4 linked regions of the Notamacropus eugenii genome follow. The protein of the gene in region 4 interacts with the protein of the main gene of each other region in a biochemical or structural test. Links are inferred from orthologs where the notes say so. Each region holds a gene or a part of one and is shown on either strand. Other genes may lie near its edges.

What was found.
Region 1: the proteins of NCOA6 (region 4) and THRB form a complex in vitro, tested with the Homo sapiens proteins (2 studies listed by BioGRID). The link is inferred for Notamacropus eugenii from reciprocal best matches to the Homo sapiens genes NCOA6 and THRB.
Region 2: the proteins of NCOA6 (region 4) and HNF4A form a complex in vitro, tested with the Homo sapiens proteins (2 studies listed by BioGRID). The link is inferred for Notamacropus eugenii from reciprocal best matches to the Homo sapiens genes NCOA6 and HNF4A.
Region 3: the proteins of NCOA6 (region 4) and THRA form a complex in vitro, tested with the Homo sapiens proteins (2 studies listed by BioGRID). The link is inferred for Notamacropus eugenii from reciprocal best matches to the Homo sapiens genes NCOA6 and THRA.

What each region holds. Positions count from the first base shown.
Region 1 is NC_092874.1:30,392,924-30,400,683, forward strand, and holds the start of THRB (thyroid hormone receptor beta), read left to right. Parts: upstream 1-4,437; 5' UTR 4,438-7,760.
Region 2 is NC_092872.1:520,747,012-520,754,612, forward strand, and holds the start of HNF4A (hepatocyte nuclear factor 4-alpha), read left to right. Parts: upstream 1-4,316; 5' UTR 4,317-4,479; coding exon 4,480-4,594; intron 4,595-7,601. UniProt on the Homo sapiens protein: Transcriptional regulator which controls the expression of hepatic genes during the transition of endodermal cells to hepatic progenitor cells, facilitating the recruitment of RNA pol II to the promoters of target genes. Activates the transcription of CYP2C38.
Region 3 is NC_092873.1:355,631,207-355,639,465, reverse strand, and holds the start of THRA (thyroid hormone receptor alpha), read right to left. Parts: upstream 3,070-8,259; 5' UTR 2,845-3,069; intron 2,669-2,844; exon of another isoform or gene 2,555-2,668; intron 1-2,554.
Region 4 is NC_092872.1:418,876,863-418,885,183, forward strand, and holds the start of NCOA6 (nuclear receptor coactivator 6), read right to left. Parts: upstream 3,086-8,321; 5' UTR 2,950-3,085; intron 1-2,949. Other genes in the region: GGT7 (glutathione hydrolase 7), read right to left, coding at 5,347-5,510, 7,905-8,004. UniProt on the Homo sapiens protein: Nuclear receptor coactivator that directly binds nuclear receptors and stimulates the transcriptional activities in a hormone-dependent fashion. Coactivates expression in an agonist- and AF2-dependent manner.

The sequences.
Region 1 (7,760 bases), on a different chromosome or scaffold from region 4:
CTCACAAAGCTTTTGTGGGGTTCTAGTGAGATAATGTGCATCAAAGTGCTTCACAGATCATAAAACATTGTAGAAATGTTGGCTCTTGTTAGAAGGATTCTGGGAGGAGGAAGGAGAATTATCCAGGAATGTCATTTTGGTGTCTGTATCCCTAGCACCTAGCACAGGGCCTCCCACACAAGAGATACTTGGTAATGTTTGCTAGATGGATGGGTGGGTGGGTGGATGTGAGGAATGGGATGCATGAGTGTCCCGCAGGTGGGATGTGAATTGAGGGAACATCTGGAGGCCCCTTCAGCTGGAACATAGAGGACTGAAAGGCAGTACAGTGAGATAAGACTGGAAAGGTCGTCAGGAGCCAGGCCATGACGGGTGGTCAAGAATGCCAGCCTGAGTCATTTTTGTTTCACAGAGCCAACAGGGAACCTCTGAAGGTTTATGAGCAGGGAACATCATTGTCCAACTATGCCATAGAAGATTTATTTTGCAGCTTTGTGGGCGATGGATTAGAGGGGAAGGACTGGAAATGGGGAAAACAATGAGGACATTCCAGGCAGGAGACAATAAAGGCCTCCTTTCCTTCCTTCCCTCTTTTCTTCTTCCCTCCCTACTCTCTCCCTCCTTGCTTGCTCCCTCCCTTCTCCCTTCCTTCCTTCCTTTCTTCCTTCCTTTTTCCCTCCCTCCTCCCTTATTCCTTCTTCCCTCTCTCTCTCTCCATTCTTGCTCCCTCCCTTTCTTTCTTCCTTCCTTCCTCCCTCCCTTCTTCCTTCCTTTTCCCCTTTTCCTTCTTTCCATCTTCCTTTTTTCCTTTTTTCTTCTTTTCTCCTTTCCTTCCTTCTTTCCTTTTTTTTCCTTTGTTTTCTTCTTTCCTTTTTTCTCTTTTCTTTCTTTTTTCTTTACTTCTTTCCTTTCTTTTTTCCTTCCCTCATTCCTTCTTTCCTCTCTTCCTCCTTTTCTTCTTTCTCTCTTTCCTTTCTTCTTTCCAAAACTACTTATTAAAGTTCCTTCTGTGTTGGAAGCCCTGTAATCAGTTTTGTATTCCCTCATTTCAAGAGTCAGTAAAACAAAATGAATTCCCAAAAGAGTGGTTTGAATTTGACACACATAAACTTTCCACCACCTTTTTTTTCTTGTCTTCTTTCTTTCCTTATATTATTAGACTAAATGCTGGTACCTTTGTTTGTTTTGACACAAAAGACTCATTAGAGGAAAATAATGTTTTTCCCTCCATCCTCAGAGAATGTTACTATTGAGTTTTCTTAGTAAAGCAGGTGTAGTTTGTGTACAGGCTTCTGCCTTTTGGATTCCTCCTAAATTCATCTGAAGAAGTAGGAGAGACCAAGGCAGAGGACCTTTTGACAACAAGTCAAGGGTTAGCATTACTTCACTGCTACTTGTCCTTCCCTGATATTTCTCCCTCCAGGGTCTGCGCAGCCATTTCCAGTGGCTCTTCCTTTTCATGGGGAGCCGTCCCTTCTCCTGGAAGCTTTCTGTTTCTGTTTCCAGTGATCTACGCTTAGGTCAAAACCCTGAGCTTCCCCCCTGCCTGGCCCTTCCTCCTATAGGTCATTCACACCCCTGCCCAGAAGGGCCAACATGAGACCCCAGAAAGAGCCCTGTCCTTGAAATCAGAAAACCAGGGTTCAAGGCCAAGCTCTGCCCCTTAGGAGCTGTGGGATCCAGACCAAGTGACTCATCCTCTCAGATGTGCTGTCTCAAGTCCACTAGGGGTAAATCAGAATCAGCCCACAGAACCAGTGTGAGAAAAGGGGTTTCTAAACTTTCAAGGAGAGACAGAGACAGAATCTAAAAGTATATATATTATATATGTGTGTATGTTCATATTTACACACACATGTAGATTTGGTCTGTTCCTAGGTTGTCACTGGTTTAAGGAATTGATTTTACCAAAGCAGATTGGTAACTGGCAACCTAGAGCCATGGAGATTTGACTGGAGGTCTGAGCAGCTGGGACTTGCCCAGCCATACAAGTCAGTACTTGAACTAAGGTCTTCCGGAGTTTAAGGCTAGCTCTTTGTGGCACACTTTTATACATACATGTATATGAGCATGTGTATAACATGCATATACATGTGTGTTCGTGTGTATTGTATCTGTATGAGTATGTGTGGGGTTTGCATGTAAATGTGTGGTTATATACATATATGATTATAGTAAGTAATGTATGTTACATAGTAAGTACATTGTGTGAAATGTATTTATGGATACATTATAGGGATATAAATAGGTTGTGCATATTATATATGTATACAGATGCAATAATTTCCTCTTCTGTAAAGTAGGGAATAATGATTACATCTACCTCACAGAATTATTGTAAGGATCAAGTAAGATAATGTACAGAAAGCACTTTGCTAATAATTTTAAAGTACCATCTATTTTTAAAAAGTCCTCATTTATTTATTTTGAACATTCTTTTCTTTTTAAACTTTGAGTGTTCCAAATTCTCCCCCTCCCCCCACCTCTTCCACACCCACTGAGAAGGTAAGCGATATGATATCAATCATACATGTGAAATCATGCAAAACATATTTCCATATTAGCCACCTTTCAAGCAAGAAAAATAAAGAAAGTGAGAAAATTATCCTGCAGCTTGCACTCAGAGTTCATCCGTTCTTTCTCTGGAGGTGGATAGCATTATTTCATCGTGAGCAATTTGGAATTGTCTTGTATTATTTTATTGATCAGAGTAGCCAAGTCTGTCACAGTTGATCATCATTACAACACTACTGTTACTGTGTACAATGATCTCCTGGTTCTTCTCACTTCACATCAGTTCATTTAGATCTTCATGTTGGGTTTTTTTTCTGACACCACCCCCCTCATCATTTCTGATGGCACAATAATACTCCATCACAATCATATACCATTCCCCCATTGATGGGTATCCCCTGAATTTCCAAGTCTTTGCTACCACAAAAAGAGATGCTATAATATTTTTATACATATAGATCCTTTTCCTTGTTCTTTGATCTCTTTGGGATACAGACCTAGAAGTTGTATTACTGGGCCAAAAGGTATGCACAGTCTTATAGCCCTTTGAGCCTAGTCCAAGTTGTTTTCCAGAGTGGTTGGGCAAGTTCACAACTCTACAAATGGTTCATTAGCATACCTATTTTTCCCGTCATCTCTTCCAGCATTTGTCATTTCTGATAGGTGTAGATGCTACCTCAGAGTTGTTTTAATTTGCATTTGTCTAATCAATAGTGATTTTAGAACAATTTTTTATGTGATTGTATATAACTTCTGAAAACTCCCCTCTCAGTGGCCATTTATCAGTTGGACTCTTTTTTTATAAATTTGACTCGGTTCCATACTCAGAATACATTTGAGAAATTATTACAGAAATTTGCTTTAAAAATTTTTGATAGTGCTTTATTGTCTATGGTATCTTTTAGCAAAATGTAATGTCCTGGATTATCTCTTTTAGTTAGGTCTATTTTTGCTTTGGTTTTGGTTGAGGACTTGATTACTATCCGCACAACGTTTTTTACTCCAGCTGAAGCATACTAGATTCTGCTCCAGACCTTTATTTAATTCTGTGTGTGACTTTCTGTTTCAAGTGTGTCTCTTATAAACAACATATTATTGAATTCTGGTTTCTAATCCATTCCACTGTATGCTTCCATTTTATGGGTGAGCTCATCCCAGACTCATTCACAGTTGTCGTTACTAACAGTCTATTTCACTCCATCCTATAATCCTCTCTTCTTCCCCCTCCCTCTCATTCTCTCCTCTCTCCCCTTTCTCCCCTCTCTCTGTCCCGTTTCTCCTCAAATTCTTATTTTGCTTCTAACAACTGCCTCCCTTAATGCACCCTCCCCTTTATCAAACCACCTCTTTCTCTTATTCCCTAATCGTCCTGTTTCCCTGTTGAGTAAGTTACATTTCTATATACAACTCAGTGTCTATGTACATATGTATATATATGTATATGCATGTATTTACATATATGTGAGGGGTGAGGGGTGTGTATACGTGTGTCTGTGTGTACACATTTTCTTCATTCTTTCAACCAGTTCTAATGAGTGAAGATCAAGCATTGCTTGCCACTACCATCCGTTTTCCCCCTCCATTGTAAAAGCTCTTCCTTGTACGCCTCTTTTATGTGAGAAAATTTTCCCCATTCTACCTCTCCTTACCCCCTTTTCCCAGTACATCCCTGTTTCTCCCTCCTTAATTTTTTTTGGAGTTCATCCCAAGTAATCAACTCACACCCATGCCCTCAGTTTATTGTAAACTCCTTTCAACTGCTCTAGGCATTACAAAGTTCTTAGGAGTTACAAGTATCATCTTTCCATATAACAATTTAAACAGTTTAACTTTATGGAGTCCCTTATGATGACTCTTTCATGTTTACCTTTTTATACTTCTCTTAAGTGTCAAATTTTCTCTTCAGTTCTGATGTTTTCATCAGTAATGCTTGAATGTCTTTTATTTCATTAAATATGTGTGTGTGTATGTATGTATTTGTCTATTTATTTTTCTCCTGAAGGATTACACTCAGTTTTTCTGGGCAGGTGATTCTTGGTAGTAACCCTATCTTCCTTATTCCAAGCCCTCCACTCCTTTAACATGAAAGCCATTAAATCTTGTATGACCCTGACTGTGACTCCACGATATTTGAATTGTTTATTTCTGACTGCTTGAAACATTTTTTCTCATTGACCTGGAAGCTCTGGAAATGGGTTTAATATTTCTGGGAGTTTTCATTTGGGAATCTTTCAGGCGATGAAAGGTGGATTCTTTCACTCTCTATTTTACCCTCTTGAAGAGAGCTCCTGAAATTGTTGCAGCAGCGGCTACTGTTGCCACTACTGTGTGTGTAGGCTCCAACACGGGACTCCACCCTAGTGACAGACTTCTCCTGCCAACCTCTTAAGTTTTCTTAGGCTGGAAAAATGTCTCACTCCGACTTTTTATTGGCTCTGCTGCACCAAAATTTGATTTCAAGTGCTATTTTTTAAAGTTGTTTGGAGGAGAATGTGGGGAGAATTCACCTCGGTGGTTGCCCCCAATCTGCCATCTTGGCTCCACTCCTTTAAAGTGCCATCTTGATGTGAGCTGTTATTATTCATTTCCTCCTGAGTATAAAGTAGGTTAGTGAATGGCAGCCCCTCAGGTCAATCTATAATCCTGTCAAAGTTGACCAGCCCCAAGTTGGTCCTTAGATACTCTAGGATCCATCTTGTATCAAGATAAAAGACTCCTCACATGGGCTCTGTTATATCACAGACTGGTTCACTACCTTACTACCTCCACTGAAAGGTGGATTCTTTCACTCTCTATTTTACCCTCTTGAAGAGAGCTCCTGAAATTGTTGCAGCAGCGGCTACTGTTGCCAGTACCAATGAGAAACCATAACCAGGTGTGTTCCTTGTGAGTGTACACTACATCTCTTTAGAAAATGGATAGCCACTGCTTTCTCCATGTGACTGTAAGCTTTGCTCTACTCTATAGTAATAGGGTTCCCTTAGCATTCTGTTCAACCATAATGCAAGTATCTCCCTTTGGTCAGAGTAGAATTGGCTGAGAAAGTGAAAAGAGATGAATCAAATCCATTCCTGCACAGACATTGCCATGTGCCAAAGGACTCCACAGAGCAGCTATTACCCTACATCTCAATCTTCCTTCCAATGCCACTTTCCCAAACCCTTCCCCTTCCATGTTGGATGATGAGCAATCTACTTATTACTACCTCTTCTGGAGGGAATCCAGAGCCCCTCATTCACTCTGACCCTCAGACCCACTCCTACCCTCCCAAGGGTTGTAGGCCTGGCTTTGCTGCTTACTCTGAGCAGAGAGTCACCAGTTACACTCCTTCCAGTAAGGTGGAAAAATCACTTTGCCTTACCATCTTCCCTGCCCCTGGCTTCCAAAGAACTCCCATTTGTCTCCTGATTTGAGGTGAGCTCTTTGAAATCAGGGACCGTCTTACTTTTCTATTTGTATCTCCAGTACATAGCTGTATTTCACACATAGTAAGTGCACCAGGCCTTACCATATAGGCATCTAGATGGCCCAGTGGATAGGACACTGAGTCTGGAATCAGGAAGACATGAGTTCAAATCCAGCCTCAGACATTTACTAGCTGTGAGACCCTTCACAATCACTTAACTGCCTTTTGCTTCAATTTCCTCATCTGTAAAATGGGGATAATAACAGCACCTCCCTCCCAGGGGTGTTGTGAGAATCGAATGAGGTAATGATTGTAAAGTGCTTCACACAGTACCTGTCACAGAGTAAGCACCATATAAGTGTCAACTCATTATTATTACCCAGATTACACTCTGGCCCTTCAGTACTTGCCATTTGCCCTGAAAAGACACCCTCCAGGCCCCTACACACCACCATCTGACTTGGCAACAAACCCTCAGGACTCCTGGCCTTTCGTATCTATCTTGTTGATACCTGCTAATGAGCACCAGACCTTGTGTCTGAACTCTCCTTGACATGTTGTGTCCCACAATTAGAAGGTGATCTCCTTGAGAACAAAGATTGTCTCACTTTTCTGTATGAATCCCCAATGCTTAGCATAGGAAAAATGCTTTATAAATGCCTTTTTGCTCATTTATTCATTATTTTATCCTTAAATCTATAAACACCATCACAAGTAGCTGCCAGGAAATGTCCCCTTTCCAGAGCCATGGGGCCCTTGGCTCCTGGCCCTGTGATGTCCCCTTCTCTTCTAAGGGACCCCCCAGGAGTCCAGAAGGATCTGCAGGAATCCACAGTTGGCCATCCCTCCCATCAGCATGGACAGGGTGGGATAGGGCCATGGCTCATTCCAGGCTCGGAACGTCCTCCAGACAGACAGAGAGAAGGGGCTGGAACGACAAGGGAAGAGGCCACAGTCGCGGGCCTTGCTCCAGAACTACCCTTGGCCAGTTCTCTTTTTTAGAAGGCAGAGAAAACACACTTGACAGCAGGCACTTTGTGCTGCCCCAACAGGTTAATCCTGACCTTTTCAATGCACATTTTTACCAGCCATTAACAGCATGCTATTTTCTGCTCAGCTGTCTCCTAAAAAGCTTTAATTCATCACATTAGACAGTGGGCACCTACTCTTTCTCCTATCCATGTGGTCCTGCCCAGCTTGCCCAGCTCTTGTCATTTTATCAGATTTATTCTTTTTCTCTTTGACAGTTGGGCAGCACTGAGGGAATGAAAGTTTAAATGAGTTTTAATATAGCCAGATAAATAGCAACTGGAGTATGTGTGTTGGACTTCGAGTTGGGAGGATCTGAGTTCAAATCCAGCCTGAACCACTTGCTGATTGTGTGACTCTGGGCAAATGACTTTCGTCTCTCTCAGCCTCAGTTTCCTCATCTGTGAAGTGGAGGCAATAATAGCACCCACCTTCCCAGGGTTGTAAGGATTAAATGAAATACCCTAGGTATTTCCTTTCTAGAAAGGAAAGGGTGATATTAAAAGCTGAGGCAACAGCCATTGGTGAGAAGTTATTGTGATGAAGTCAGGATAGCTAAGTAAGGATTTATAAAGGAAAACTAAAGAGCAAAGGCCAGCAATCACAAGAAGGGAGCAAAGGGCCCCACAGAGCAGCTACTACCCTACATCTCAATTTTCTTGCCAATGCCTCTTTCCTGAACCCTTCCCCCTCCAAGTTGGATGCTGAGAAACCTCTTCCGGAAAGAATCCAGAGCCCCTAGTTCACTCTGCCCCTCAGACCCATTCCTGCCATCCCAAAGGTTTTTAAGACAACTTCTTAAAACAAATTT
Region 2 (7,601 bases), about 100 Mb from region 4:
TACTTTATCTCTCTGGGTTTCAGTTTCCTTACTTGTAAAATGAGGGAATTGTATCCCAGTTGTTCTACCTGGCTCCTATGGTTCCTTCTTGTTACTCATCCTATTATTCCAGGACTTGAGGCTGTATATTACAGAGCAGCCACTCAGTCTCCATGAGGACAACCACGTGGACGATAACACTTGTGTGAACTACCACACCCAGGTGTGTCAGGAAAGGGCTTTGTCAACCTGAAAGCACTCTAAAAATGTGGACTATTACTTTTATTATTAAAGTGGAAGGTCAGGGGAGGGGAACAGAGGAAGTCTATGAAACCTTTAAGGGTAGGAGGAAGGAAAGCAGAAGTTTGTTCACCAGATCCCAGAGGGGTGAGGAAGACACTCTCACATCCTTCTTCCAAACACCCCTCTCTTCCAGACTTTCCTCTTTCTATCAAAGGCACCATCATTTTTCCAGTCTCTCAGGTTTGTAACCTTGACATCATCCTCAAGGCTTCACTTTCACTCAACTTGTACCTCCAACCAGCTGCCAAATCTTGCTCATTCTACTTCCATAGCATTTGTCATAGATGACCCATTCTCTCCATTTATGCATCTAACGCCTTAGTTCACACCCTCATCCCCTCTCACCTAGATGATTGCAATGGCCTCTTCACCGGTCTTCCTACCTCAGATCTCTTCCCATTCCAGTCCTTTCTCCACACTTTGACTAAAGGGATTTTCCTTGTGCACAGATCTGACCATGCCAATCCTCTGCTCCTTTAACTCCAGTGACTCCCTATTGCTTTAGAGTCAAATAAATACTCCTCTAGTTTTGAAAGCCCTTCACAACTTGGCCCCAACCTGTCTTTTTCAGCCTCCCTTCACATGTCTCCCCTCCAGCACTCCACAAGTTAGCCAAATTGGTCTCCTCTTTGTTCTTCACATACCACACTCCATCCCCTATCTACGTGCCTTTGCATTGGTCTTCCCACCCCCTTCTCCCTAGGCCTAGAATTTACTCCTTCCTCACCTCTGCTTCATAGACTCCTTCTCCTCCATTGTTGTTATTCAGTCATGTCCAATTCTACATCATCCCATGGACTTTTGAACGTGATATTTTCTTGGCAAAGATACTGGACTGTTTTGCCACTCCCTTCTCCATTGCACCTTCATTTTACAGATGAGGAACTGAGGCAAATAGGAGTTAAGTGGCTTGCCCAGAATCACAGAGCTAGTAAGTGTCTGAGGCCAGATTTAAACTCAGATCTAACTGACTCCAAGCTCTATCCATTGTGCTGCCTAGCTGCCCCCTTTCCTCCTTGAAGAGACAGCAAAGCTGCCACCTTGCATGTGAAGCCTTTCCTGATCATACCTAACTGCCAGGGCTACTTTGTATTTACTTGTATTTACACAAGTAAATACAGGTTTTTGTATAGATTTATTTGTATTCCTTTACTTTATATTCATTTTTATATATTTATACAGATCCTAGCCTTCCCTATGAGAATGTAAGCTCTTTTCAAGTAGGGAGCGTCACCTCTGTTATACTGGTATTCTTGGCACAGTGCCTTGTACACAACAGTCACTTCGTAAATTCTTGTTGATTGATTGGTGATGCTCAAGAAGTTTAGATTCATTCAGAACATACTCAGGGAAACCCTTCCTCACACAAGGGCTATGGAGTTTGTTACCCCCAACTGATGTCATAATAGGGAATGTAAGATGAGATTTAGATCCCAGGTCATAGATCTAGAAAGATAACTAAAGGTATGGAATGCAATGGGGAGAAAATCCCGGACTCAGAGGTCTGAGACAGAACCAGAATGAGATGGACAAATGGAGTTTTTCCCTAGGACATGGGCATCGAAAGATGCATTCTCCCTGCTGTCACTGAGTCCTCATGCTTCCCCTACTGTTCTTCTGAGGCCACTCTGCTGCTGGACCTGACAGCGCTCATAGTAGGTTTATCCTCTTCTATACTTTACCTCTTCCCCCACAGTTGAACATAGCCAAGTACAGTTTTGGCTACTTACACATCTCGTCAAGGACTGGTTGAGTTCTGAATCTGCCACTAATTAGCTGTGTGACTTTAGGTAAGTCACATCTCTGGGACTCAGTTTTTCCATCTGTAAAATGAGGACATTGCACCTAGATGTAGAGCTGGAAGAGACCTTACAGCCCGTCTAGTCAGACACCCTTATTTTTCAGATGGAGGAAATGTGACCCAGAGAAATTGAATGACTTTCCCAAGATCGTATAGGTGGTTACAGCAAAGCCAGGATTTGAATCCAGGTCTTCTGACTCAAATGAACTCCTAAGGTCCCATCAGCACCTGACATTTAGCTTTTTAAGAGGAACTGGGATGTATGGGGGCATATTCCTAAATTTTAAGGTCTCTCTGAACCCTTTCTCAGAAAATCCCTTATTCAGAGACAGAATATGAAGCTGGAAAGCCTGTATATATTATCTTAGGTGACATGTTTAAATGTTCTTAAAGCTTTTTTAAAAAAGAACAATGAAAGAAGAAGAGATTGAATCTTAGAATGCAAGAAAGCATAGCTGAAAATTACCTTGGAAATAGAATACATCTCCCCTATTGCACAGATGGGAAAAGTGAGACCCAGAGAAGAGAGTTGATACATGACCAGCAACTGATAGAGCTAGATCTAGAAGCTACCTCTTGTCTCTTAGGTCAGTCCTTTTTCCAATATACTACAGCAGGAAGACTCAAGTTAACGTGAGAGTGAGGGAGACCCTGGGTCATTGAGAGGTAAGGAGGACAAGCCACAGTGTGGTGGAAAGAGCACTAGGCATAGATGAACTTGTTCATAATGAGCTGGGTGACCTCAGCTCCTTCTCCCAACCTTGGTTTCTTCCTTGTCTATAAAATGGAAGACTAGATGACCTTGAAGATCTGCCTTTCAGCTTGACTACTCTAGCTGCTAATATCCATTCCAGTTCTGCCATTCTATGTCCTAAGGACTCTTCTAACCTTGGCATTATGTGATTCTGTGACATTTATAACAAATCTTGTTACCACGAACATCTACTTCAGGATTGCCTATATTCTGCATGACTAGGTGGTACACTGGACAGAGTGATAGACTTGAAGTGAGGAACTCCTGAGTTCAAATCCAGCTTATGAGCTGTGTGAACCCGGAAGTCACTTAACCTCTTTGTAACTCAGTTTTTCCCATCTGCCAAATGGGGATAATAATAGCACTCACTTCCCAGGATTGTTGTAAGGATCAAATGATTTAGTAGCCATAAAGTACTTTTCAAGTCCTAAAATACTATTTAAATGCTAGCTATTATTATTTGACTTTGTAATATTATTTTGGTTTTTTGAGGCAGTCGGGATTAAGTGGCTTGCCCAGGGTCTGCTTATCGAATGCTAATCCATCAGCAAGTATTTATTAAGCACCCACTATGTGCCCAGCTCAGACAAGTACAAAGAGTAAAACTGGCCTATTGTCGTTGAGCTTACTGAGCTAATGGAGGGGACAGCTAGCACATGTTAAAATATATGTTGATTAGAAGTCAATGCACCAGAAAGTTTGATCATTTGAGAAACCAGTGAGGTAGAGCACTGGTCTTTGAGTCAGGGGACCAGGGTTCATATCCTGGCCCAGGCATTAGCTGTGTGAATATGAAAAGTCATCTGAAGTCTTCTTGACTCCAGATGGTAATGATAATGATAATAATAATATTTAAATAAACCTATAGAAATATGAGTTATTGCCATAAGTTAGCCCAACCTTAACAGATGAGGAAACTGAGTCAGAGGGAGGTTCACAATGCTCCATTTTGAAGGAACCTCAGAGGTCATCTTGTCCAACTAAGATTTGGGGAAGGTGCAATCTGCCCAAGATGACACAGGTCATAGGTACCAGAAGTGGTGTTTGAACCTGGGTCCTTTGAATGCACAGCCAGTGTTCTTTCTGTGGTATCACTCTGGGAGGTAACTTGTGCAGCATCACATCGCTAGTAAATGACAGAGATGAAGACTGAACTCGGGTCTAATGACTGCCAGTTTTGGGCTGTTTGTCCTGTGCCATGCTGAGTGTCAGGAAGCAGAAAATTAGACTGATGAGCTGGGGGCTGTCATTAGCACAGGGGATGTCAGCCTCAGCCCCCAATCCAAAAGCCAACCTAGACATGATGGCTCCCATAAGAAAGGGAAAAACCCCAGGCAAGCCTAACCCAACCTTAGCTTGCCCAGCCCCATGATGTCTACCAGAGGGTAAGAAGATTAAAGATTAACCCCTACCCCTCCCTAGTCTCTTGCCTCCACCCCTCAGGAAAGGCTAGGCCCAGAGCTCTGTAAATCCTCTCAGAGAAATGTTTGAAATCTAGGAGGACAGATAGAGGGATTGGGGCAGAGGCAGAGGGGGAAGAGAGGCAGGGTGGGAGGCCAAAGTGGCCCAATAGGAAGTGGGCCTGTTTCTGGTCAGGCGGCCTAACGAGAGGGAACTGGCCACTCTGGACAGGCAGGAGAGAATGCGTCTCTCCAAAGCCCTTGTCGACATGGAGATGGCCGATTACAGTGCTGCCTTGGACCCAGCCTACACTACTCTGGAATTTGAGAATGTGCAGGTGTTGACCATGGGCACTGGTAAGTCTGCCTGGAGGGGCTCTTAGGGGAGCAGGGGCAGGTGGTGTGCCCAAATGTGGACAACCACATACAGATGTATAAAGAAAGATGTGTTATCTTGTACAAATACAAAGAGGTGTATATACTGAGGTTCTCCATGACTCTGCCAAGGCCTGGAACTATATGTACAGGTGTGTGTGTGTGTGTGTGTATGTGTGTGTGTGTGTGTGTGTGTGTGTGTGTGTGTGTGTGTGTGTGTGTGTGTGTGTGTACGTACGTGTGCCCATGCAGAGGTGTATGTGCAGAGGTCAGCTGGACTGGGTTGTTTCCCCTCGCTAGTCCTCATTTTCCTCAAATGTAAAATGACGAAGTTGAATCAGATCATCTCTAAGGTTTTTCTTCCAGCTCTAATAGTCCGTGATCTACATGGAGATATATATATACAGGTGCCTGGTTAGAAACCTTTATGGGACATGGAGTATACTGGCAATCTTGATTGCGTCTTCACTTTACTGAGTCCACTAGGCCAGGGCTTTGCCTTGCCTGGCTTCCTTCTAGTCCTTGCTAAAATCCTTTTGCCGAAAGTCTTTCCCAATCCTTCTTAATTCTGGTACTTTCCCTCTATTGATTGTTTTCAAATTATCCTGCAATATTTTGATCTATGTAGTTGTTTGCATGCTATCTCCCCCATTAGATTGAAATGAGAGACTGTCTTTTGCCTTTTTTTGTATCCTTGGTGCTTTGCATGGTGCTTGGCACATAGTAGGTGCTTAATAAATACTTATTGGCTGATTGATTGATTTAGTTGGTATCAGGGGCCTCTTGTCTCTGAGAGTGGATTGAGACACCAGGTCTATAGCTCCTACATTCCCCAGTTTGGAGGAAGGTGGAGCAATAAGGAAAGAAACCCAGGGACTTAGGGGGACAGGAAAGTGTATTCTAAGAGAAGGCAGATGGGGGAAGGGGGAGCCAGTATATCACGAGGTGCCCCAGGTTAACCATTGGAGAGAAACTAGGAGAAAGATTTTTTGGCAAAGTGGTTTCAAGATATAAGAAGTCACTTGGGCATTGTGTGTATATAGAGATCTGTATATGTGTCTCATATTTGCATATGCACGAGTTCTATTTTTAAATTCATTTGTATGTATGCTTATGACATTGCTGCTATGTATAAGTCAGGCTACAAATCTGTCTGTGTTGGCATATGAATCCAGATCTCTGGGTGCCTATGTTGCTGTTCCACATATATGCTCACATATATGTACAGGCATACACATACAGACTTTGGACTATGTGGAAGAATTGTTGGCTTTGGAATCACAGAATCTAGTTTGAAATCTTGGCCCTGCCAATTACTATCTGTGTGACCTTGGGGGAGTCACTTTTCTCTTTGGCCTCAGTTTCTTTATCTGTAAAATGAATAGGGTCAGACTAGATGACCACCAACCTCCCATCCAACACTAGATAGAAAAGCCCAGATGCTTTTAAACTTGCATAGACATATAAACTGAGCCCTCCAAGAAGTGTTTGCTGATCCTGGGATCAGAGATAATCAAATATTCCTTCTAGCCCCACACTGGCCCAAGGAAAATAAAGCCTGAAGCTGAAGCTGGAAGGTGATGGGACCATGAAGCAAAAAGTTCCAAGGCCACAGTAGCTTAATGATCTCCTTTACAGTGATCTCTAAGAAAACTTGGTAACTGTGCAGTCCAAAGCTGGAGACAAGTATGGAGACAGGGAAGCAGCTTAGATTCAGGCAAAGAGCCCAGGACTGGTCCCAAATCTGCTACTAACTGGCTGTGTAACTATGGGCAAGTCCCTTTCCTTTTACTGGGCTGTTGTTTTCTCCTCTGTGAAATGGGGATAAAGAATGGCACCCCCATTATTCCCCCTCTCCCAAGGGAGATATTGGTGATCCTATGATCAGCAAAACAGAGAAAGAGAAACCTGTTGGAATGACTAAGAGCACAAACTGGCCCTGCACAACCATTCCATCTCCTAATGAGAACACACCGCTGGCTGTGGCCCAAGGTCTGGTCGTTGCCCGGGTCTGTGAGGAAGGTACTTTACAAATTGTTGAGCATGGTAAGAAAGTGTTCTACTACTATTACTAAGGATGCCCAGGCTTTGGGGTGAGCTGTTAACCTTGAGTGTCCAAGCCTCAATCATTCAAGGTTAGTCACTTAATCTTTTTGTGTGGACCCCTTTTGCAGTCTGGTGAAGCTTATGTACTCCTTCTTGGAATGTTTTTCTTTTTAAAATTTATAATGGAAGGAAATGTCAAATTTCAGTTAGGGGTTAGTGAAAATAAAGATGATTTTTCCCCCCATCCAAGTTCTTATGGACCCTCTGGAGATCTGGGGCCTTTCCTGCAGGTTCTTAGGTCCACAAGAAGCCCTTTCCTGGGGATTCCTAGGAAGCCTTTGCTTCCTTCCTCTAGGAATGGGTAGGGATGCTGCTAACCGAGGCCAGACTCTGGCTGACTGGGTTCTACAGGCTTTACAGTATATAAAGCACATTCCTCCCAGAAGCTTGGGAATGCAAGTAATTATCATCTCCTTTGTATAGTTTAAGAAACAGCCTCAGTGACTAGCTTTAGGTCATTCCACAGGAAGAAGACTCAGACCCAGGTCTTTTGACCCCCAAGTCCAATGTCTTATTCATTGCCTTGATGCTTCCCCCAGAGCAGTAATGACAAGCTTCTCCTATGCCTCCACTTCCGGTGGCTTCTGTATGTTTCCTACAAGGACAGTCGAGAGGCAGCTAACAAGCTAGGGTCAGGGTCAAGAGGCTGGGCTCCCCAGCAGCCTAGGTCATAGGAGTTCAGATTGTTATAGTATCTTCCTCAAGAACCAAAGGGGCAGGTTCCAACCATGGCCCTTCTGTGCAGGGCCCATCCCCCACCCCAAGTGCAGCTGGATATGAAACTTAGGAAATGCAAACAGCTCCCTTTTTGCCTAAACTAGGGAAGCAAGAGTATTCTGGTGTGGTCCGAAGAGCCCGTAACTGGATTTGAAGAACTCCAGGT
Region 3 (8,259 bases), on a different chromosome or scaffold from region 4:
CTCCTAACCCTTTCCCTGGAGTGCTAATTCCCATAGACGTTAGGATGGGGTGGGGTATAGGAGACACCAATACTCTTACCTACTAAGCTTTAGAATTGAATAGGGAGCCCTGGAAAGCCAAAAAGACAGGAATCCTCATTGACATTAGGAAACCCCAATAGTTCCTAGAGCTCCCCTTATTTAGGTCCTGTATCTAGGCTTAGCTTAGCCAGGTAGAGAGGCCTGGTTGAACAGAAGCACCCTTCCCCACCCCCATTCCCCAAACCCTGGTGGCCACAGCTGTGCTTTTCTCTTGGTAAGGAAATCCAGGATGTCCTGAGAAGCCAGCAGAGCCCCTTCCACCCCCCACCCCCACCCCAACCTCCTGCTGACCCCTGGGGAGGCAGCAGGGAAAAGCTCACTATTAGCAACCAGAGAAATATGAAGGATGTCCTAGCTAGTCCCTAGCTCTAGGACAGAAGATTATAATGCTGAGACATGCAAAGACTGGGAGACACTCAAAAGAAAGTGACAGGAGAAAAGAAATATAGAGCTTAAAAGAGAAAGAGACCAGACAGAGAGATAAACAGATAAAAGGACAAAAACACACATAAAAACACAGCAATTTGAACAGAAGGACAGAAGGTAACATCTAAACGGATAGTAAAAAAACATCTAGTTGAGGTTATGGGGAGGCTTTGGGGTAAGCAGGAAAGATTCAGGCAAATGAGTTCCCCAAGACACTTTTAGGGTGGGGAAGTGGGAGGCAGAGAGTTAAGTCTGATTCCCCTAAAGACAACCTTGCTGCCCCCAGTTGTCAAGGCAGCTTAGGCAGGGTTATTGTCTGGGGCTATTGTCTCAGTCCTCAGAAACCCCTTACCTCCCCTCTCTCACGAAAATTTCTCTTCCTAATCTCCTTTAAAATTGTCCATGCCCTTAGAGGAGGGAGACACAGGAAAAAGCATGAGACAGAGAAAGAATGTGTGCATTTGTGTCTGTGAATGCCTGCATGTGTGACACAGTAAATCTGCTACTCTTATCATTCAATCAACAAATACTTACAGAGCAGCTATTATACAGGAAACATTGGGATAAATGCTGTTGGGTATAAATGGGTACAAAATAATACTATCCTTGCCCTAAAGGGATTTACAATCTAAATACAGAGTTGTTCTTAACCTTTTTCAGTGTCATGGAACCCTTTGTCAACCTGGTGATGCTTATCCACCCTTCTCAGAATGTTGTTTTTAAATGTATAAGATTATAAAAAGAAACTATCTATATTGAAATAAGCTTCTAAAAAAAACAAAACAAAAAAAATATGGCCCATAGGTTAAGAATCCTTGGAGTAAGAGAGTATGTATATTACTATATATGTGCATTTGTCTGACATAGCTTTTATTCTTGGGGGCAATCTTCTCTCCTCAGTTACAATGTAAACTCCTTGAGGAGAGGGCCTGTCTTTTGCCTCTTTTTGTATCCTTTTCGATTAGCAGAGTGCCTGGCACCTGGGAAGCAATTAATAAATATTTATAGATTGATTAAACTCCTTGAAGGCAAGAATGTATCTATTCTTGGTATCTCTCTCAATGAAAAGCAAGGCAGTGGTGCCTGGACACTAGGTCCTCCATAAATACAGTATCTGTTTGTCGGTTGTGACTGCACCTGGGACTATGTATAGCGATGTCTGTGTATAGGAGTCTGTATGTGGGTATGTGCCCGTGTCTGTCTGCCTGTCCTTGGGTCCCCCTGTGGGTGTGTCCATCTCAGCGTGTGCACTTGCTCACGAGTGTTCGGTCTTCCTGGCCCAGTGTGGGTGTGTCTATCACCCTCCTGTCCTTGACGCCCCGCGTCCCCGTGTCAGCGCCTATCCCGGTGTGTCTGGCTTTCACCGCCTCCCCCTACCCTTCACCTCCCGGACAAGCCCCCCTTCCTCCTCCCGTCAGCCAGCTTCTGCCAGGTCAGGGCTCCCGGAGTACTACCAACCGCGCCTCGCTCCTCCTCCCTCACCCTCCCTTCAAACTCTGACCCCGCCACCCCTTAGGCCTTTTCCCCATCCAGAAGAGGGGGAAACCCCATCTGCCAGGGGCTCGAGGGACACGTTGCAAGCCCCTCAGCTCCCTCCCTGTTGGTCTCGCACTTCCCCAAGTGGCCTGGAGCATGCAACTCTCCGGGCGCTTCCCGGGGACCCCGGAGTTCTCCTACCAACTCCTCTTTTTTCTTCCCCCAGCCGCGTTTTTGCATTTGGGAGTGTTGCAACTGGAGGGCCATGCAGCCCCATGTGAAGGGGCTGGGGCGGTCCTCGAGCCCCGGGGAGGCTGCAACCCCCCCCCCCCCCCACTCCCGCCGGAGGAAGCTTTGCAAAAGCAGCTCGGCCCCGGCAGTCGGGAGGGCGGAGGGTGGGGGGAGAAACAGGCCGCCCGAACCGTAAACAAACCGCGGCGGCGGCGGCGGCTGGCGGGGGAACAGGGGCCGCCTGGCAGCCGGGGCCGCGGCTCCGACAATGCGTAGCAGACGGGACCGGGAGAGGCCGGGGACCCGCGGGGCGGCGGAGGCGGGGTGTGGGGGGCGAGGCCCGGACGCCATCTGCCCCTGCAGCACCACCGCCCCCCTCCTGGCCACCAACCCGCTGCAACCGTCCCGTCCCCCTCCCCCGCCAGCCGAGTCCTCCATTTACTCCGGGGAGTTGGTAAGTTGCAAGCACCCCAGCACTGACAGTGTCACCCAGGGGCTGGCTGTGCAGGCAGCGGGTCCCCAGGGACGCCCCCAGCCGGGACTAGGACCCCAGCCAGCGAGCGTCCGGTGGCTTTGCATAATCAATCGCAATGTATTTGCATATTAATACCCCCTCCCCCTCCCCCTTACCTCGGCGTGGCGGGCTGGGCTGTGCGTGGGGAGGGGTGGCGGGTGGCTCAGCGCCGGGGCCCGGGGGTGGCCATGGGGGACCGGTGGGGCCGGGGCCGCCCGCCTCCTGTCCCCGGGTGTGAGTGCGAGTGAGAGAGGGGGAGGGGGGCAAGTGTGGCGGCCCCGCGGCTCCTCCGGCAGAGGCGGCGGCCGTGCTAGCTCCTCCCTCCCCCGCCCCGCTCCGCTCGGGCTCGGGCTCGGGCTCGGGCTCGGGCTCCAGGCTCCGCGCCGCCCGGGCCTGGCTCACTGCTGCTCCCTGCAGGCCGAGCCTAGCAGCCCGGCGGCCTCCCCTCCCAGCCCGGGCCATCCCGGCCAGGTCGGCTGTGCCGAGCCCGGCCCGGCCCCGCCCCTATCTCCTCTCACCTTCTTCATCTTACTCGGACCGAGTGCGCTATGCCCTCAGTCCATTCACGCCTGGCGGGTCCCCCCTCGCCCCATCCTATCCCACGCCGGCTCACTCACAAGTGCCCATCCCTGCCGGATCGCTCCCTCGGGAATCGCTCGCTTCTCGCTAATTTGCTCTCTGACGCTCGCTCCCACCCGACGCTTCTCCCGGTCCCACTCTGAGCCCTCCTTCTTTCGCTAGGCTCCCTCCTGGAGGCCACTTCTTGTCCCCAGCCATGTTTCTGAAGACCCTCCGCAGCCCAGGAGGGAGGATGCCGTCGGTTAGTCAGTCCACAAGCATTGGCTCAGGGAGTACTATGAAGCCAGGCACTGTGCTCGGCTCTGGTGATGTAGAGAAAAGTAAAAACACGGCCCCTTTGGTCAAAAGGAAGAGACCTGGAAAGGACTATGTACCTGCAGGATACATGCAGAGGTCTCTCCCGTCCTGCTCTTATATCTCATCGTGATGCTGGGAGAATTTTGATTTTTTTTTTTCAACGGGGTGGAGAACCGAACTGGAATCCAGAACCTAGAACCCAGAATCCTTTGTGTATATGCAAATTGTAGGAGTCATCCAAAAAGAGACCTCTCCAATGTGTCAGGTCCCCCACCCCCACCCCACCCCACACACCTTCCTATGCATACACATACAGCTGTATTCATGGACATTAAACCAACCCAGAGACGCCAAAGCCCTTTTCATCTTGGGATCTTCCAGGTTGGGCAAAGCTCTAATTACCCCAGCCCCCCACTCTGGCCCTGCCGGTTCCCCTGCTGTCATTAGCCCAGTTTTACCAGCGGAGGCCATTGCCTTCCCACGGGCTCCCCAGGGTGGGGCCCCTCTTCCCCTGCTCCCTTCTCATGAGGAGGTGGGGATGAAGTTTGGTCGATCACATTTGGAAAATTTGTCTGACTAACAACAGCCTGAGTTGATTAGATTGTCCAAACCTCTCCTTTTTAGAGGTAATTCTCTCATGGTAGGTCGTCCCTGGGGGCTTGTCTTCCAAGAAGGTTTGCCCTTCAGATCTCTCATGGGATCAAGAGGAGGAAGAGGAGACACTCTTTGGAATGCAGTGATCATAACATCACAGTTTCAGAGCTGGAAATGGTCTCTGAGATCATCTAGACCAACCCTTTGTAGAAACTACTCTGGACTTACATCTTCATTTTACTGATGAGGAAAGTGAGGTCAAGAGAGTTCAAGTGACTTGCCCAAGATCACACAGAGAGTCAGGATCTTAAACTGAGGTCATCTGATGACAAATCTATAGCTTTTTCTTATTCTTCTTATTCAACCCGCTGCCTCTCATAGTGAGGATGGGAGAGATTTCACCATCTTAGCTTAATAGTGAATATGGATTTTCCTATCCCTCCATCTTCCCTTGTACTGTGAGGTGTGTTTGTCCTCCATTGCCGCAGAAGACCATGCCATCAGAGAAATAATGACCTGACTTGCACTTGACTTTGTTTTGAGTGAGGGAGGGCTGTGCAGGTCACTAGCCTTACTTCTCCTCCAGAACTATCTGAATCCAGTGACCAGATATTCATCAGGATCACTAGAGATGACCCAGGATGAGGCAATTGGGGTTAAGTGACTTGCTCAAGGTCACACAGCTAATGAGTGTCAAGTGTGTGAGGTGAGATTAGAACTCAGCTCCTCCTGACTCCTGCACTGGTGCTTTATCCACTGCACCACCTAGCTGCCCCTGTACTCTGAGGTGGTGGAAAGGAAGAGAAGGGAGAAGGGAATAGGAGACTATAGTATATTAAGGATAGGAGAGACAGGAAAAGGAACCTGAGAAAGGGTGGTCTAAGGAACAGCCTGTTCTCTGGCTATTGTTGACAAAAGCTGTATCCAAACACCTCCTCTTTCCCTCTTTCTGTTATTATGGTGTACCCCCACAATTTCTCCCTCTCCTATTCCCCTATCAATAGGGATTCTAGATAGTTATCTCCCTAAGAAGACCTCTGCCTAAGAGCCAACACCTCATACAACTCCATGCCCCTGTAATCATTTCATATCCTAGTGACAGGTGGGGGATACTGGCCATCAACTAGCCAGTTGTGGAAATAAGCTCTCTGTCTCCCCCACCCCCAGCACTCCCCTAGCCTAAAGAGAGTTGGTACCAGCAGATGAAATGTGAAGGAAACTCTCCAAGCTGTCTTGGCATTACCTCACTGCTTGACAGACCTCTGAGCACTGGGGAGGAGGAAAAGGAGAGCAGGGGAAACTGAGGTACAGATGGTTGATGAAATCAGGAATATAGGTATTTTTCTTATCAGGAATATTTATTTTTCAGAAAGGAGATTGGTTATTGGGATCCTAGGAAAAGGAAAGAAGAGAAGTGTATGGTGGAGGTAGGGATGGGCTGTTGGGGGCAAGGGGAGGGAGGAAATAGATTTGGTAGACTTGGAGGAATAAGGGACTGGGAAAGGCAGACAGTTGGGAAATTATCCAGCAATTACCCTGATAAGTACTAAGGAGGCCACTTAAGTCCCCCACAATAATTACTCATGTTTTCTCCCCAATCTCTGATTTCCCTTTACCCCACTTGGGCACTCAAAAGACAGGAAAGGGAATTTGGGGGAGGACTATGGGAAAAGACTTAATAAGAAAGCTCAACACAGGACAGGCGAAAGAATGACCTTATATATAAAACAAGAGGGAGGTTGAAGAGGTTTGACCTCTGCCCTCCACCAAACCAGATTTTTCTGGGTTATCTCCAAGTGAGACAAACATGGATCCCAAATTCTCTCTCGGATTCCAACCTTCGGTATGAACTCTCTCCTCTTCTCATAAATGTCTGCCAAATTTCATTTACACCAAACTCATTACAATCCCCCTGCACACTTATTAACTATTAATTATTCCCACCTTTAACCTCTAGATTAAAGGTCATACCTTAAGTCTAGAAGAAGGGTGATGATGATGACACACTTTGTCTAGGAGAGGGTTGGTCCTTTGCAATCAGAATATGGGGCAAGGAGATGGAAAAAGGGATAATATGGCAGAGGGAACAATTATCAAGACCTGGGTACATGTGGCTCCTTTCTGTGTCTAGGTGCCAAGGTCATGTGGCTGATTTTTCTCTTCCTGATAAAGGGAACATGTTGGGTGAGTGAGGATAGGAGATTATCTCAGGAATTCTGGTGACTGAGACAAGGTGAAGCTGCTCTAAGGTCTGGGTTCAATTTTTCCTTTTCAGCACCTTGGATAGTTTCTATCTTTCACTTCTTTTTTCTCCTGGCTGGTGGGAGGAATTGGCCATACCCATTTCTTTTGGGGAGTTATAGAGATGGGACAGGCACAAATGAAGAGAAACAAAGAAAGTGAAAATCCCCTCCCAGGGGTGAATGAAGGGAATTCTTGGCTTCCCTTAGAAATTGATCCTTGTAAAGAAGCACAGAGCTATGGACATCCTCCTCTCTGAATATAGAGAAAGGAAGATATAGGCTAGGAGTTAGGGGTGGGAATGGAAGGCAGTCACTTCTGAGGTGAGCTAGACCTAGTGTTAGCTATTTGTGTGTGTGTCTTTGTGTGTGTGTGGGGGGCACTTTGCTGAACTTCTCTTTCCCACATCTGTTGCCAGTTGACTCCCCTCAGTTGGCACCTGGGCATATTTTCAGGAAGCAGTGCTATAATAGTGGCATCTAGCCTAGAGCCTTGGTCTCCCTTTGAAAGAAAATAGGTGGATATCTCTTAGGTGCCCTACTCCAAGAAGTTCTTTGACATTCCTGTGCCATGTAACAAACAGAATTTCTATCACTGTCTTCCTGACACCCTTTCCTAGTTGGGCGGTGAAACTTCCTCAACCAATATTCCCTGACTCCTCATTGACCTTTCCCAGACTCCTTTCCAAATTCTCTGCAGCTGCACCAGATGTTGCCATGTCATTTTTTCTTCATGGGCTTTTCCCTGGTATGGGTAGAAATTGGCCCTTTCTTCAATACTCAGGGCCTTTCTTCCCTTGGTTCTGTCTAACTCTGGAAGTGAAGGAGGAAAGGGGAATGGGTCTAAGAAACAGTAGCTTAGGTTCCTTGTTATGAGTGAATTTGTAAGAAAGGATGGGGGGAGGTGGAGTAGTGGGGTAACAATGAGGTTGAATTAATATTGGAAGAGAACTTTTGGCAGCTCGAATGTGTTTGACTACGGCTTTCATGATGACAACCATGAAGACCCAGTCCTCTCATCATATCATAAATATCATATCATAAATAAATAATGATGTGGCAGTCCTATCCTTACAGTGGGCTTGGCCAGGTGGGAAGTTGGAGTTGTCCTGGCAGGGGAAGACTGTCTCTGAGTTCAAGAGAAGAAAGCAGCTGGCTAAAGAGAGTCAAGGGTTTCCAAAGAAATTGTTCAGGGAAGAAGATATTGAAACAAAAACTGGAATAGAGATAGACTGGAACTGTAGTCTAACCCCAAGGAAAATCTTCCCTTTCCTGATCTTTGAGACAGAGAATTGGTGTGGGAGGAGGGAAAGTGGGAGGAAGAAGGAGGGAACTATAGAGGATGTCTTCTAGTCTGGAACTGGAAATGGGGAAAAGGGAGGCCCCAGAGACAGTTATCCAGAACTCTTTGCCAGAAGGGGAGGGTCTAAACTCTGAATGCTGACATCCTCATCCCCCAAATATTCTTCTCTCCCACTATGGGCTCCACTGTCTGAGTGGCTGGCTCTACAGTCCTCAAATGTTTCCTAACCATTGGTGAGATTAGGTAGAGAAGGGGCAATTGAGAGGAGTTACAGCTCAGTGAGGGACATATTGAAGGAATAAGATCAAAGCTTTACAGATAATGAGGGGATATTAAAGGAGGGGGGAAGTGAGGAAAGAAAGATAGGTAAAGAGAGGAAAGAGAGAGAGAGAGAGATGGTCACAGTAAGGTATAGGGTAGGGGGTTCAAGGCAAAGGGCCACAGCTCACCTGTCTTCTTCCTTTACCAGCAGTTTTATAGGAATAGTATTTCCCACTATATCTGTAAGTTAGGAACAC
Region 4 (8,321 bases):
GATAATATATGTAAAGCACTTTGCAAATCTTAATGTGCTGGGATAAATGTGAGTTAGAATGGTACAAAAAATGGTGTGAGATCTGAAAATTGTTACTGATCAGGAAAAATTTAATGGAAGAGGTGACAAATGAGTTGAGAACTAAAGGACTACTGATGATTCAACAGATGAGGATAATGAGGACTATCTGTGTTTGAGTAATATAGTTTGTTTTAAGCATTGTGAGCAAAGGGAAAGAAAAAGAAACAAGGCTTAAAATGTAGAAAGCCCCAAACTGTAGAATACTTAGAACTCCTGGCAAAGAAATCTGAACTTTACTTGATAGGTAATAAAGAACCATTGAAGTTTTTTGAGCAGAAGAGCAACCTGATCTATACATAAGAAATCATACCCTGGCAGTAATATGAAGGATGGATTTGAGAAGGTAGAAAGGTCCCTAAAATAGAACTAGTGAATAGAAATGAGGACCTGTACTATGGTGGTATCATTGGAAAGAATGAGGAGAGAATGGATGAATGAGATGTTGCAGAGGAACTGGCAAAATACTTGGTACCTACTTGGATATGAGATATGAGGAAAAGTAAAGACTAACAACCCCAAAGTTTTGAATATAAGAGGCACAGTAAATGGTGGTGAATCAGACAAAAATAGGGGAGGCAGGAGGAGAGCCCAAAGAAAAGAAATAAACCTGGTTTTAACATGTTAGATTGAGGTGCCAAAAGGACATCTAGGTGAAGCTTTCTTGTAGGTCACTGGAAATGCAGATCTAGAGGTCAGAATTGGAGAGAATTTTGGAGTTGTCTGCATAGAGGAAGTAGTTGAAGTCGTGGAAATGAATGTTCATTTGTCAATGGAAAAATCACGTGTGTTCGCCCTTCGTCATTATGGGATTGAGACCAAGTTGAGGACATACTGAAGGGCACATCAAAAGGTAAGAAAATCTCTGGAGTATGGTCTCTGAAGCCAATAGAGAAGAGTATTGAATAGAAGAGGCCGGTCAACAGTGTCAAAAGACATTGACAAGTCAAGGGGTTTGGAAAGCACTGGATTTGGTGATTGTAATGGTGATCCTAGAGAGGAAAGTTTCAGTAGATAGAAGGGAACCAAAAAGAGGGTGTGTAGGCATCTGGGAGAGACAATTTTTTTCAAGACGTTTAGCAGCATAAGGGAAAAAGACAGGATAGTAGCTAAATAAAAGTGGATGTGTCAAAATGAACACATCTGTAAACTGATGAGAAGGTTCCAGTGGAGCAGAGACAGAAGAGATGAGTGACTCAGAGGGGTTGACTTCTTTAAGTAAGGTCTTCAAAGGAAGAAATGAGATTAGGTAAAAAGAATTAGCCTTAGTCAGAATACTTTACTTCAGCGACTGGAGGGAAGGAGAGAGATTATGAGGAAATTGAAAGGGCTGAGAAAGTTCTTTTTAGTGAAAGAATAAAAGGGCAAGAAAAGAAAAAGTGATTCTGGGGAAAGGGAGTTAATAAAATTTCAGCAGAGATCATTACTCCAATCCTCCAAGTTTGCAAATGAGGAAACTGAGACCTAGATGAAACAAACTGACATCCTAAATCACATAAGTAGTGGCCGAGCTTGAACTAGCACCTACAGTCCAAGGTCTTTCCAACACCATTCATGTTGCTTCACACAACAGATAAATTTTCCTAAGGCACAGAGTTTAAGAATCAGGTCATTCATCCATTCAAAACCTCTCAATTGCTCCTTATTAATTATTACACCAATAACTTCTCTCTCTGGCTTTTAAAACCCTTCACAACCCGGCCCCAATCTATCTCTCCAACCTTGTTATACATTACTCCCCTTCCCAATCTACAAACTGAATATCTGTTCTTCCTCCATGGCACCTCCACTGGCCACCTGTGTCTCTGTACCGGCCATCCCCCCTGCCTGGAAGACAAGCCTCCCTTCCCTCAAGAAGCAGCGATCAAGACCTGCTCCTCAACCTTTCCCGACGGCCCGATCCTTCCCTCCCCGGTTTCTTTGTATTTCTTCTGTATGTCCCTACACCAGGTGTCCCAAAAGTCTCTGTGCAGCTGTAAGCCTCGGAGGCTCGATTTCAAGCGCTCTGAGGACAGCGCCCCGCACGGGGCTCCAGACAACCAGAGTCCGCGTTTAAAGCGCACGAAGCTCAGCGGGCTCGTGGTGGGCTGCCCACACTGGCGTTAGTCCCGACTCCCAACCACGGGCTCCACATCGCTGGGTCTACACCGCTTCCTCAGCCCCCACGGGTGACCTCCCTGTGTGACCCCTATTCGGGTCCTCCCCTGGAGAGTGCCCTGGGTCATTACCCCCACACAATGCCACGGCTGTTTCGTACACACAACACGGCCAGGCCCCGGCCATCCCGAGGCTTCCTTCCTTATCCCCACCTTCAGGCACCGTGAAGCCCCTGGGAGGGAGAAGCTTGTTCCTTTGCGACTCCCGCTGTCAAAGTCCCCAGCCCGGGCTCTGCCTCAGTGGCCTTCCCGTGTCCTTCCTGCCCTCCCCCCGGGGCACACTCGCGCACACACACCCGGCCCGGTAACCCGGGCACACAATGAGGTGGGCCTGCCCTGCACGCCCGCCCGGGCCGGGGCTTGGACACCTGCCTCCCCTGGCCCCGCTGGGGGGTTGGGAGGCGGAGCTCGGGCTCGGGCACCGCGGCGAGGCCACCCCGCACCGCCGCAGGCCGGGCCCCGGCCCCCCCCCCCCCAGCCCCGGCTCCCCGCAGGCCGGGGCCAGCTCCCCAACATGGCGGCGGCGGCGGGGACACGAGCGAGCCCGGTGGCTGGCGGCGGGCGGGCGGCGGCTCCCGGCCGGGCCGGGTCTGTCATCCGCCCCGCGCGGCGGCGCCATTTTCCCGGGACCAGGGACAAGGCTGGTCCCATTCGCGTCCCGTCCAGTCCCACCCCACCCCCCCGGACCCGGCCCGAGCTCCAGCCTCTGCCTCACCTGCGGCCCTGCCAGGGGCCTCCGACGGCGGCCCACTCTGGCCCGTGGCCTGCGAGCGCCGCTCTGTCCGTCCCCGCGGCCCGGAGAGCCGGACAGCGGGACACCGGGACTCCCGGACCCGGCAGCGGCCTCAGACCCGGCGGGGAGGGGGAGGGGAGGGGACCGGGGCCCGGGAGGGGGAGGGGAGGGGGAGAGGGAGGGGGAGGAGCGGGGCGGGGCCGGGCAGGCGGGGGCCTCGCGCACGTGACCGGAGCGAACGTCCCCGGGAGCTCGGGGCGGCCGCACGCAGGCGCGCCCGGGCCCGCCCCACCCCACCGCGCCCTGGTCCCTCCTGGATGAACCTCGGATTTTTTCCTCCCCGATCTTCGGCAGTTTTTCTTTCCTGAGCCCCAAGTTACTCCTTGGCAGCGCTGAACCCTTGATCTCCAGGTTCTCCGGACTGCGCATTCCCCGACTCCCCACAGTCCGGAGCCCACAGTAACCCCCATCTTTTCGCAATCCCCAGCTGCGTGGACTGCGCCCCATCTGGTTTGCCCTCTTAAGGAAAGGGTAGCCAGGAATCGGTCTCGTTCTTCTGCCTGCTGGTTGGTTCTTCCGAACCTGGACCCTCTGCCCCTGGCCCCGAGGAGGCAGGGACAGAACCGGCCCAAAGTCTCGCTCCTAGGCTTTGCGTCCTCAGCTCTGGCTCTTACATTCTGAATGACTGGCCCAAGTGCCTTCACCTCTAGGAGACTGGGTGGTCTCCATTCCCTCCCAGTGTTCACTTTGGGGGACTAGTGGGATATCTAAGTAGGGTCGCGGGATCCCAGGACTTGAGAGTGGCCCGGTGAGAAGCTAGAGACAGAACTGAAATTAGGGAGAGAGAGGTCATCTCGGTGACTTGGGGCGGCTGGGGGCCCAGCAGGAACGGCCCCTGCTGACACCTGAGAGCAGGGCTGTGCATCTCCTGGAAGGGAGTCAGGAGGCCTAGGTGGACAAGAGCGCACAAGTGGAAGGAACTCAGATGGCTTAACCACGAGAAGAAAGGACTTAGGGGAAGCATGGTCAGTGTCTTCAGGCATGTGAAGAGCTGTCACGTGGAAGAGGTAGCTTTGTCCTTTTGGCTGCAGAGAAAAGTAGGAGCAATGGCGGGTGAAAGTTACAGGGAAGGAGATTTAGGGGTCAATAAAATCTTGTTAACATGGAGAGCTCCACCTTTCAGGGTTGTTGAAGAAGGAATTTCCGTTCAGTTCTCAGTCAGACTGGATGACCTTTGGGGTTCCTTTCAACTCTTGGATTCTGTGCTTTGAGTACCATCTCTGTCAAATCAAGGTTGAAGACCTGGGCATGTGCTCTCCTTTCTCTGGGCCTAAATTTCCATCTCTGTACAACTAGAGGGTCAAAGTTTCCAGCATTAATACTCAATGAGCTATAAGGAAAAAAGTGCTGGATGGCATGCCCTACTCCACCCTATTTCCAGGAACAGCCTAAGAGACTAAGGAAAATTAAAGAGAGGTTGAGAAGATTCATTTTTCCTCCCTAGGGTCCTTCTTGGTGAACTTCATGGGACTGGCATTGTTTATGGACTGAGTTAGGGGTGACATTGCCCAGAGGTAGAGAGATGGTCTAAATGGCCTCCAAGGTTGCAGACAGCCTAAAGTGCTCCTATTAGAAGTCTAAGTGAGGAGACTTCGCTCTCCCAAAAATTCAGCCATCTGTCCCAACTTTGACCTGGAGACCAGCTAACAGACCAAGCCAGAGAAGAGATTTCTTAAGCAACTTTCTCTTTAATTCCTCTTGGGAAGTGGAAGCCCCTGAGCTGTTACCCACCCTCCCTCCCTCCCACCCTTATGTGGCCCCTTCTCCCTGCACCTCTCCCTCAGACCCTTACTACTTCTGGGACAGAGAGAAGGAGAAAGAGGGCCCCTTGCTTCTGGATGGTCAGTTAAAAAAAAAGTCATTTAAGAAATGAGACAGGGGAGAGGGATGGGGAAAGATGTCAAGGGTTGGTGGGAAGGAAGGATGATTCGGGCCACCTGGGTGGGGTTTTTTTGGGGAGTTTTTGTTTTGTTTTTAAGCAAGCATTTCCCTAAGCCTCTCAGGAGTAGGAAGTATTGGAAGGAGGCAGAACCATTCTTCTAGTCTTCTTGCCTGAGGTCTGTCAGGCCACCACACCCATCAACTGTGGAATTTGTCAATTATTCTGGAATTGGGTTTGATATAAATCTCCTCTGGTCCCCAGGCCCTGGGCAGAGCTCGAAGGCACCAACTGGGAACCTCTGGTCTTCAGACCCACTCTGTGCCTGTCCCTCCTCCCTCCCTCCCTTGCCCAGGGGGAGGCAGGGCTCCAAGGGGCTCTTGGAACATGCAAAGGGGTATTTGTGCTGCAGCGCCTGCCCCTGCCCCACCCACCCAGCCCTACAAGATGGTGGCACCCGCTCCATCAGGGCTTCGAGGATCCTTCACCCCAATGATGAAATTGTTGGTTCTCCGACCTCCATGGACCCAGGACAGAACGTCTACCTTCTCAACCCGATGGCCCCTAGCCTCCAGGAACTCAACCTCTTCCTCTGTGAATTCACCTGAAAGAAATCACATGCAACAAAATCAATTCAAACATTTATTAAGTATCTCCTGTGTACAGAACTCTCTTCTGGGTGTTCAGTAAACTCATATAAACCCACAAGCACTGGCCAAGATGATTTATTTTTCAGGACTAGACAAGCTTGTCTGTCCAGGGCAAGATGTAGACAAACAATTTCAGCACCCCTAGAAAAATCTCCATTACTTCCCAAATTTCTCTCCAGTCCTCCCATTTATCCCTTAATAGGGACAAATCCCAACATTCTCCAGAGATCAGATTGATGGAATAAATTCCCATGGGAAAATTATAAACTGTCCGAGTAGGAAGGGATTGTAGAGATCATCTACTCTAATCCTCACATTTTACACGGGAAACAATCCCGGACAGCTTAACTGTGGGACTTGCCCAGTGCCACACAACTAGTTTATTATGGAGTTATCAGTCACTAGCATTAGTCCTACTTCTCCATTTTACAGATCAATCAATCAAGCACTTACTGAGGTCTTTTGGAAATATTTCTTTGACAGTTATATGAAGGATAGACCAGAAAAGAGATGGGCTTGAGGCTGGGAGACCAACTACAATGCTATAGAATTAGTCCAGGCCAACGGGAAAATAAGGATGAAGGGAATGAGACCTTGGGAGGTGAAGGGATTGGCCTAAAGTCACATGACTACTGTCATATATAAATTAGTATTAGAAGGGGAGTCTAGTCCAACCTTCCTTATTTTAAAGGTAGGGAACCTAAGGCCCAGAAAGGAGGAAGTGGCTAAATAATTATTATCTTAGATCTCAAAGCACTTCCCAAGAGCAGTCTTTGGGTAGGTGGGAGGCAAGAGGGCACTGGGGGGTCAGAAGGGAGGTTGAGAGAGAAGGGCCACCACTGAGGTGGGAAAAGGGCAGAGAAAAGGGGTAGCTGTTGGTGTCTGGGACAAACTTTACAAACAGCAATTCTGCCAACTGCCTGCCTTCATTTGGCCAGCCCTGGCTTAAAGCTCTTCACAGAAGCTGGCCAGGAGGGCCCTCTAGACCTAAATTGGTTTATGGGGTATTCCCCCCACCCCTTCCCAGCCCTTGAGGGCTCTAAACCCTGAGAAGAGAGGAAATGCCTACCTCAGGAAAGAAAGACCACCCATAGAGAACTGGAGGGAGAAGACTCAAGGCTTTTAACTGATTTGTAGATGAACTTGACCTTTAATCTTTTATATTCACAAATAACATCAATTTAAAAGACAATACTGTCTTTTTAGCCTTTTCAAGTTTACAAAGCCCTTTCCTCCCCGTAACAACCTGGAGGAAGGTACAGCAAGTGGTTCAGTCGTTTTCAGTCTTGTCCAGCCCTTTCATAGACCCCATTTGGGGTTCTCTTGGCAAAGATACTGGGGTAGTTTGCCATTTCCTTGTTCAGCTCATTTTGCAGATGAGGAAATTGAGGCAAATAGGGTTAAAGTGAATTGCTCAGGGTCATAAAGCTAGTAAGTGTCTGAGGCCAGGTTTGAATTCAGGAAGATGAGTCTTCCTGACTCCAGGTCTAGCACTGCATCACCTAGCATGTTGACTTTGAAAGCCATATGTGAACACTATATGTGCTCGATTGCATTTTTATTTATTTTGTCAAACATTTCCCAATGACATTGTGATCTGATTTTGGAGTACTCAGAAGTATTGAGGGCTACATGTGACCCACTAGTCCTGAGTGTGACACCTGTGTCCTAGATAACTCTCTAAGACAAAAAGTAGAAGAGAAGGAAATTTTCTCACCCAAGAGTTCCCTATACCAATGAAATCACAAGTTCAGTCCCTACCTGTACCCATTATCTTGTCTACAAGCTGTCTGGGGAGGGGAAAAGGATATAATTGGAAATGAACCCAAAACAAAAATAAAATATATCAATTCAAAATTTTTAAGAAGTGTTCTGAGAAATTGTGCCTCTAAATAATGAACGATGATGATAACAACTCCTGTCTTTAGTTTTCTTCCTCATAAAGAACCCTGAGTACATAAAGGATTATTATCTCAGCAAAGTTGACTAAGCATCCAGGACAAGGGGAGAATAAGTAATGAGTCAATTAACAAGCATTTATTAAGCACTTACGATGTGCCAGCAACACTGTTAATGAATAGGGATACAAACTCAAGAGTCCCATAATCCCTCCAATGTTCTCATAAATTCCCAGAAGGTGTTCCTGCAGGTAGGGGGTAGGGTTGGGGGGGATAAGAGAGGCGGTATGTGTGTGTGTGTGGGGGGGGGTGTTCTGAGGCAACAAAGGAAAGCAAAGCCTAAAAGTCCCCTTCTCCAGGAGGCACCTGGGGGTTGTACTTGCTGTTAATGTGACCCACCTAGGTTCCAGAATCAGGACCCCACCAGCCTGCCCTTCTCCCTGTACTCACTGTCCACCTGAAGGATGTTGGATTGGAGCTCAGGGTGGAGACGCCCTAGGGACAGGCTGTCACTCAGATTTCTGTTCATAGTCAGCACATTCACCAGGACCTGCAGGATACCAGGGAGGTGAGAGGTGCATATAGCCAGGGAGTATTCCCAAGGAGCCCAGGCAAATCATCCCTTATAGCTGCAAAGCATTATATACTTTTAGGTACTAGGAGGTATAGTAACAGGGTTGTGCTGGTGCCAGCTTGAACTCATCACAAGTACCAATGGTTAAATTTTCAGTGTGAGCATGTTCACCATAGAAATTGGCAAATGTTATAAATCAGAGCTTGATTTATTGTTTCGTTGATTGTTTAGACTTAAAATAATGGAGAAAACGTTAACACAGATTAAATTTAAGTGTCATAGGCACAATTTTT